2 linked regions of the Notamacropus eugenii genome follow. The protein of the gene in region 1 interacts with the protein of each later gene in a biochemical or structural test. Links are inferred from orthologs where the notes say so. Each region holds a gene or a part of one and is shown in the gene's direction. Other genes may lie near its edges.

The links. The genes of interacting proteins can lie anywhere in the genome.
Region 2: the proteins of DLG4 (region 1) and CRHR1 form a complex in vitro, tested with the Homo sapiens proteins (2 studies listed by BioGRID and IntAct, with this or other methods). The link is inferred for Notamacropus eugenii from reciprocal best matches to the Homo sapiens genes DLG4 and CRHR1.

What each region holds. Positions count from the first base shown.
Region 1 is NC_092873.1:78,853,115-78,857,054, forward strand, and holds the start of DLG4 (disks large homolog 4), read left to right. Parts: upstream 1-960; 5' UTR 961-1,083; coding exon 1,084-1,113; intron 1,114-3,940. UniProt on the Homo sapiens protein: Postsynaptic scaffolding protein that plays a critical role in synaptogenesis and synaptic plasticity by providing a platform for the postsynaptic clustering of crucial synaptic proteins.
Region 2 is NC_092873.1:347,228,917-347,232,516, reverse strand, and holds the start of CRHR1 (corticotropin-releasing factor receptor 1), read left to right. Parts: upstream 1-1,022; 5' UTR 1,023-1,550; coding exon 1,551-1,583; intron 1,584-3,600.

The sequences.
Region 1 (3,940 bases):
TACAATATTTTCCTCTTACATTCCTCCCTTAGTCTTTCTGCTTGTCACATTTCTGGCCCTACAGAGTCCTGGTTATAGCCACATTTCCTCCCTGCCTCCTCAAAACCACCCCAAAGGGAAGCCAAGGCCATCAGTTCCCCCAGTGCAGGCAGCCAGGGACTCAGAATCCTGCTCCTAATCCCTCTTTATCTCCCTCTCCTCCTCCCCCCTTTTGCCTCAAGAATATTTCAGGGTCCCCTCCCACTCACAGGTGCTCCCCACCATACCATTGCCCCTGCCAAGAAATCCAGTCAGTTACTTTATTTTTCTTTCCTCTGCCTTCATCCTTTTCTCTCAACATCTCTATGCCTTTCTTCTTGCGTCTCCGTGACTCTGACTGTGCCTGTTTTTCTGGCTGTGACCTGTGTATGTTTCTCTCTTTGTCCTCATCCGTATGTGTGTGTCTGTGACTCTGCCTTCATCTCCTCCTTCATCTCCATCCTCATCCCCGTGTATCCGGGCTCCCCCAAGCACTGAAGGAGTTAACCTCCCTTGCTTCCCCCCCCATCCCTTGCTCCCTCCCTCCCTTCCTCCCCCCTCTTCCTCTCTCCTCTCTCGCCTTCCCTTCTCAGCTCCTTGCTCCCTTGGCCGTGGCTGCCGCCTCCAACCCCCCCTTCCCATTCCCCCTTTCCCAGCTGCCAAGAGAGACCCTCCCTAGCCTCTCTCTCAAGACCCCCCCCATCCCAGCTTCTCCCACCCCTTCTTCCCCTCCCCCTCCCACCCCAGCTCATGTCTCAGCCTCCGGCCCCTGGGGCTTCAAGCCCCTTGCGCCCCCACCCTTCCTGAGATTGGGGTGGGTACCCCCCAAGCTCTCTGCCTTCTATTCGGGGGACCACCTTTTGGGGCCCCTCTTCCCCTCCCTCCCACGCTTCCCCTCTCTTTCTCTTCTCCCTCTCCCTTCCTCCCCTCCTCACCCCTCCCCCCACCCGCCCCCCCAAAAAAAGTGGGGTACGGAGGGGGGAGGGGGGAGAGTTGGCTGAAGGGGGAATGAGATCCTAATGAAGTCAGAGCCCCCCACACGCCACAGCGTCCAGCCCCCCAAACATGGACTGTCTCTGTATCGTGACAACCAAGGTAAGCAGGATATTGGGGGGGTGTGGAGAAAGGGGTGTCAAAAGGCTGATATCTAAGGGGAACAGAGTTTGTAGAGAGGTACCAGGTAGGCCTTATCTGGAGCCTAGGGTCCATTAGGGAAAGATCAGTAGAAGTAGGGTGCTTAGGATTTGTCTCCCCGGATTGGGGAAACACAGGCATATAGATAATGCAGGGAAGACTGGAGGCAGCCATGGGGCACCCTGGAGTGATTCCCCAAGTGTCTATATGGAGCACAAATGTGGGGGGGGTTCTGTGGCTTGGGGGGAGCCTGGCAGTTTGGAATTTGCGGGGGACATGGGGGATGCTTATCTTGGGGGAAGCCTGGCTCATACTGGAAGAGAAGTTCATGTTTTAGGGGTGGAGGGGTCTTCAGGGTGGGAGAAGGCAGGCTTGATTTTAGGGACTCTAGGTCAATTTTGGGGGAGAATGAGAGGCCTCGAGAGATACTCTTGGGTTTGGGGGAATTGCTTAAAGCTCATTGGAAGAATATTACCACAATTTGAGGCCATACTTATTTTGGGGGATCACTCAGTATGAGGGTGACTGGGAGTAGTAAAGGTTCAGTGGGTCAAGGCCTGAGACTGGGAACCATTTTAAAGAACCAATCTAGAGGAGGTTAAGATTTGGGGTGCTATCTCACTGGGTCCCCAACTCTAGGACAAGGAGAAATCTAAGAATCTGAGATGGGCTTACAGGAATTGGCTGATTTGGGGCATCATGCGGGTGATGAATTTGGGAGACCCTCAAGCAGGTGTTCTCACTCCTCCTTTGCCTTTGCCCATTCACTTTGCTCTAGCTCTCACTCCTGTCCCCAGCAGGAGAGAGAGGGGAGAGAAAAGCAGATGGAAAGACAAACTCCAGACCTGCTCAACCAGGCTCTTAAGGGGGAGGGATGTGAAGGACACCCTGGATTTGGAGGGTGACCCCCCCCCCCCCCAGACCAAGGAAAGGATCTAGGCCTTAAGGAGTTGAATGGGGCTTGGGATGGAGGCAAACTGAAGGTAGGCAGAATGAGGGGGAGTAGTAGAATAGAAGGGGACTGGGGGCGGTGGGGGAAACTGGGGGAGTCAGAGAGAAAGCTGAATGTGGAGGGGCCAGTCTGTGAAAGGCAGAATGGCCTGGGTGGTGGTGGTGGGGGAAGGACACCTGGCTTCCTCATGGGAGAATCTGAGATTTGGGGGTTAGATGCCTCTGTAGAGGGTTAGGCAGGTAGCTGGCTGGGAGGGTGGGGAATAGGAGGGACAGGAAGTGTTGGCTGGGGGAAGCAGGGTCTGGGTGAGTCATAGGATGGGGAAGGGGTTATATTTAGTGGGAGCTACAGCATCTAGGGGGAAGGCTACTCACATATCCCACCATATGCACATGGATGTTCATGTGCACATGCTGGCATAGAGTTGGGCCTCAGGAAGATACAGGATATGGGAAGGACTTCATGGAAACCAAGCCTGGATGCCTCTTAGTCTTAGCATCTGCTATCCCACCTCACACCTTTACCTTTCCCCCCACATATTTTTTGGGGGCCTTTCTCTGGGGATCTTATCCTGGATTCATTGTTTTCCTGTTTCTGCCACTTTTTTTTTCTGTTTGTCTTTGTGTCTCAGGGCCATGTTTTATGTCCTTGATGTCCCCCCCACCTCCCCTCATCTTGTTCTCATGTTTCTCCTGCCATATTCTCCCTTCTGTGTCTCTCAGTCTTCCCCCTTTCCCCCCTCTGCCCTTTCCCAGGGCCAGCACTTTGGGGACACAGGAGGGAAAGGCCTGAGCAAACAAGGGACACTTGAGGACATGCTTCCTTCTCTCCCCCTCCCCTTCCCCTCTTTCCCTCCCCCTATGCCTCCCTTGGTGATGTTTCCTATAGATACAGGCAAAAGGAAAGATCTATATTGAGGTGTTGGGTACAAACCCTTTCTGAGAGCATGGGAAAATAGGCATGAGAGAAGAAAGAGGAGGAAACCTGGGCTTGTAAGATGTTCACTAAGTCCAGGGAAACAGCCTCCCTTTATTCTGATCTAGAACTGAGCCAACAGCCAAGAACGTTGGTGCCATAGGGTCCCTACAGAGAGGAGGAAGGGAGATTGGACACATAGGTGGCTCAGGGGAAAACAGGAGATTTCTTTGCCTCGAAAACTTTTCAGCGCTGGTGAAGGTGGGACTCCAACTCCCATGAGTCCCTGGGGTAGAAGGCCCCTAAGTACACTAGAACTGTCGCCCTGGGCCCTGTCGGGAGTCGTAGTCCCGGCCAGTCCACGGGCTCCGGGGTAGAACAGGGGAGGCCGGCAGGGGACGCTGTGTCCCAGCACTCTTCGGCTTGTGCTGAGTACACTGGCTCCTCGCCCTGTGGAGGCCTTTACCTCTGGTTCTCTCCCATAGTCTATTTACCCTGACGCCGGTTTCCATCTCTTGTTTCTATCTCCTAGTCTGTCTGTCTGTCTGTCTGTCTGTCTTGTCTGTCTCTCCCGCCCCCGCCCCCAACCCACTTGCCTCCCCCTTCCACCTCCTAGTTCCACCTCCTATTTCCCTGCGCTGGCGCCGTTGCCATGGTAACCGGCGACGACTAGAGCGGCTTGGCAGGCTGGCGGGCGGGGCCCACGGAGGTTGGGGGCGCGAGCACGGGGGCGGGGCCGTGGGGGAGGGGGCGGTTGACTTTGGCCAGAGACCCGGACGCGAAGCAGTTAAACCCTCCGGGCGGCCCTAATTGGGCAACTCGGGCACGCCGGGGGCGGAGTCGGACCGGCCACCAGCCCTTGCTTATTGGCCGAGATGGGCGGGGCGGGGTTGGAACGGGGGATGGTGGGGGTGAGGCCGT
Region 2 (3,600 bases), about 270 Mb from region 1:
GTTCTGTCTTGTATACCAAAGCTGTATCTAGAGATCTGGGGGCTGGGGTGACAGACGGTCATCCTGGTGCTGGGCAGCAAGGATGGGTAACAAGGGCTAAGGAGCCTGGATTCCAATGTTGCCGTTATCTTTCTCTCCCCACTGGCCAAGGGAAAACGGCACAACCTCCTGCTGGGGTCTGGGTGGAGGGTGTGTGTGGGGTGTTATCCTGTAAATGAGGGAACTGTCTCTGAAACATAGAACGGCTATGGAGGAGTGAAGAGTAGATGCTAGAAAGAGCAGGGAGTGCCCATACCCTACCACTCAGGCCTAGAGTTGTAGACCCCCTTAGGGAATGGCAAAGAAAGGAGAGATGAAAGGGCTGAAGCGGAGGAGGGGTTGTGGGGGGATGGGTCGGGAAACACCCAGATGCAATCCTGAGCTTCCAAAACTACTGCTAGCCTTCCCTCACTCTCCAGCAGGGTGCCCAGGAAGCGGTGGTGGAGGGGCACCTTCCACAGACCACCTCACCCCTCCCGCCTTCGTCCTTCCAATCAGACTCACTCTGTGTCCCAGAAGTATGTCTCTCCTGATCTCCCCCCTCCCCACGTCCCGTAAGTCTCTTTCTTCAGCAGCCTTTCCAAGAAGCGAGTGGAAGAGGGGTTCTTAGTCTTCTCTCCCCTCCCCTCCCCACCCTCTCGCCCCAGTCCCAATCTCTAGGCTCTTCTCGGACTGCTGTCCCTGAAGCTGGCGGCGCAGGAGCCGCGCTCAACTCACTGCTGCAAACTGAGAGGGGGGCAGGGAAAAGGGGTCAGCGATTAGCCAGGCAGGGTGGAGGGGTGAGGGGGAAGCGCTAGAAGGGAAGGGACAGGCAGGGAGCGCGAGTGGAGAAAGAGGGAAGGAGGAGGAAAGGGGCAGAGGGAGGAGGAGGGAGGGAAGGGGGAAGGAGAGAGGAGGAAAAGGGAGAGGAGAGGAGGAGGTGGGGAGGAGAGAGAAAAAGGCAAGAAAGGACAGGGAGGAGGAGGAGGAAAAGGAGGAGGAGGAGAGAGGTGGCGGGGGCGATGCGGGGTTCCTGACTGCCAGGCGCAGGCTAGACGAGTGCCCTCCCTTAAGAACTGGGCGGGAAGTGGCCGTGGGGACCCGGCTTAGGAAGAAGAGAGGTGGCGCTGCCGGAGGGAACCGGGAGCGGAGCTGGGGGCGGATGGGAGAAGGAGCCGGTTGTTGGCAGCAGATGTGACCGAGCTGCGGGCTGCCCGCCGGGGACGGAGCCCGAGAGCCGGGCGGGCAGTGCCTCCTTCTAAAGGAGCACCTGGCGCTCCGCTCTCTCTCCTCCCCTGCGATCCCCTGCCAGCGCCGCGATCCCCTGCCTCTCCTTACCCTGCTCTCCCCCCAATCCCTCTGGGCTCCCACTCTCAGAGGCTGGGGCTGCCTCCCTCCCCTACCCGCCACGCTACCTCGGGCTTTCCCCCGCAGCTCTCTAGCAAGCAAGCGCCCTAGCCCGAGCTTGGCCGTGCCCTTCTGGGGAATGTGCCAGTAAGCCAGGTATCCAGGGCCCCCAGAGAACCCCCAGGATGGGACGCCGCCCTCACCTCTTGGTCATCCAGGTAAGAATATGGGCGGGCAAAGAGACCCTTCCACTTGCACCAATCCCTCCCATCCCCCCCAACACCCCAGTGGTAGCGGGGGAGACCGGGAGCTGTGTGCGCAGAGGAGCGGGGGCGCAGGATTGACCCTCTCCAGCCCGGGGCCAGGGGCCCGGGCTGGTTTGGGAACGACCCAGGACTACCAAAGACGGCTTTAATGTCCCTGGGGGAAGTCAAACTCTTCAGAACGGACGGTTTTCCGGGGAAATGGGTGGGGAGGACTCAGGTTGGGGCTGGGAGAACGCTTCCCGGAATCCGCAGTGCCAAAGATTCCCTTCCTCAAGCTTCAGAGTGCCGGGGTGATTACCAAATCAGGGGTTGAGTCCCCATTTCCCCCTCCTCTACCTGCCCTCGCCCCCGCTGACCATTCTGTCTGGGTTGGGCTTCGATAGTTCAACGCTTTGGAGGTAAGGTTCTCGCCTGTTTTTTTCCTTAAACACCTTCCTTAGATTCTACCTCCTCCTTCCCCCCTTTTAGGCCGCCCAATGGCTCCTTTTCCCTTTGCAGAAATCTGCATGTCTATGGAGATAAATCTCTCCCGCTCCTCCGAGCGCTTGGATTCATAGAACAATGTTCCCCCGCCTAATTGAGGTGTCTGATGTTCGGTCCTCTTCTCCTGCTAGCCTCCTGACTGGCCGTGCTTGAGCCGGGTCCGAGAGTGGGAGCTTTTTTTTTTTTCCGCTGGAACTAGGAGCCAGAAACCGCTCGGTCTTGAGTCTAACGTCTAGCGAGGATATACCAGCTCCTAGAGTTTAGGAAAGTCACCAATAAATCCACCAATTTTTGTCTAAAGTAGTTCAGTGGCAGACAGATCACTCCCTCATCCCAAACCAGGTACCAATCTTCAATCAGGGAGGAAAGCATATTTTTAGGGTCCAGGATGGAGTCTCACACCCTGTAAACGAGTGAATTCTGGCATCTATTTTTTGTGAGGCTTATTCTCCAATGCACACACAGATAAATTACTTTAACTGATTTCTAGATTGTTTTTTGGGAGGGAGGAGTGCTTTTTATTTATGTGTATGTGTGAATCTTGAAAGTGCTGAATTTTTAAAAAATGATTGAGTGATCCCACAATGCTAAATCACCCATTTGATTTTTTTTTTTACTTTTCAAATAGTTGTTGAACCTTTGTCTTGTCTTTTGTTTCTCTGTATACACAGAGGTGTGTGAATCAAATCATCTCCTTTGAAAACTAGCAGTTTAATTCAAGTTGTCTATAACAGAATGTTTAAAAAATAATAATGAGTTTGACTGAAATAAGCCTCACTCCCCACCCCACTCCGAAAGCCCTTGTAATACAGCTTTCTTTTAACCAAGACAGTGAGAAAAGTGTTGGATTTGGATCAGAAAGAAAAACCTGGGCTCCAGTCTGGTTGTCCTATCTTTGTGGTCTCTGGCAATCAATTAAAAAAAGAATCCTACAGATATTTATTTAGCATCTACTATGGGCTAGACACTGCACTTGATATACAAGGACAGTAGTCATACAGTTCCTGGCCTCCTGGGGCTTATGGTATTGAGGGGGCAGAGAGAGGGAGAGACAACATGCATATATACATATATGTACATATGTGTACTTGGTATTATTTTATACCAGATATATAGATGGAGGAGACACTAGAAGCTGGGGGGGGGGGGGAGGGAAACTTCAGTGTGACACTTGAGTTGGGGTTTGAAAAGGAGTCAGAAAGTAAGAGGGAGTAAACCCCAGGCATGGAGGAGATAGTCCCCTCCAAAGGCACTAGAGATGGAAGGTAGAAAACTGCGAGTAAGGAACAAGAGGAGGGGCAATCTGGCTGGAGAGTGAAATTCCTGGAGGATAGTAATATGTAATGAGTCCAGATTGGGACCAGGCTGCAAAAGAGCTTTAAGTGCCAGAGTTTATATCTGACCCTGGAAGTGTAAACAGTCAGAAGAGATGGGCTGAAGTTTGAGTGTAGAAGTGACTTGGAGACTTATGCAAAGGGGAAAATCA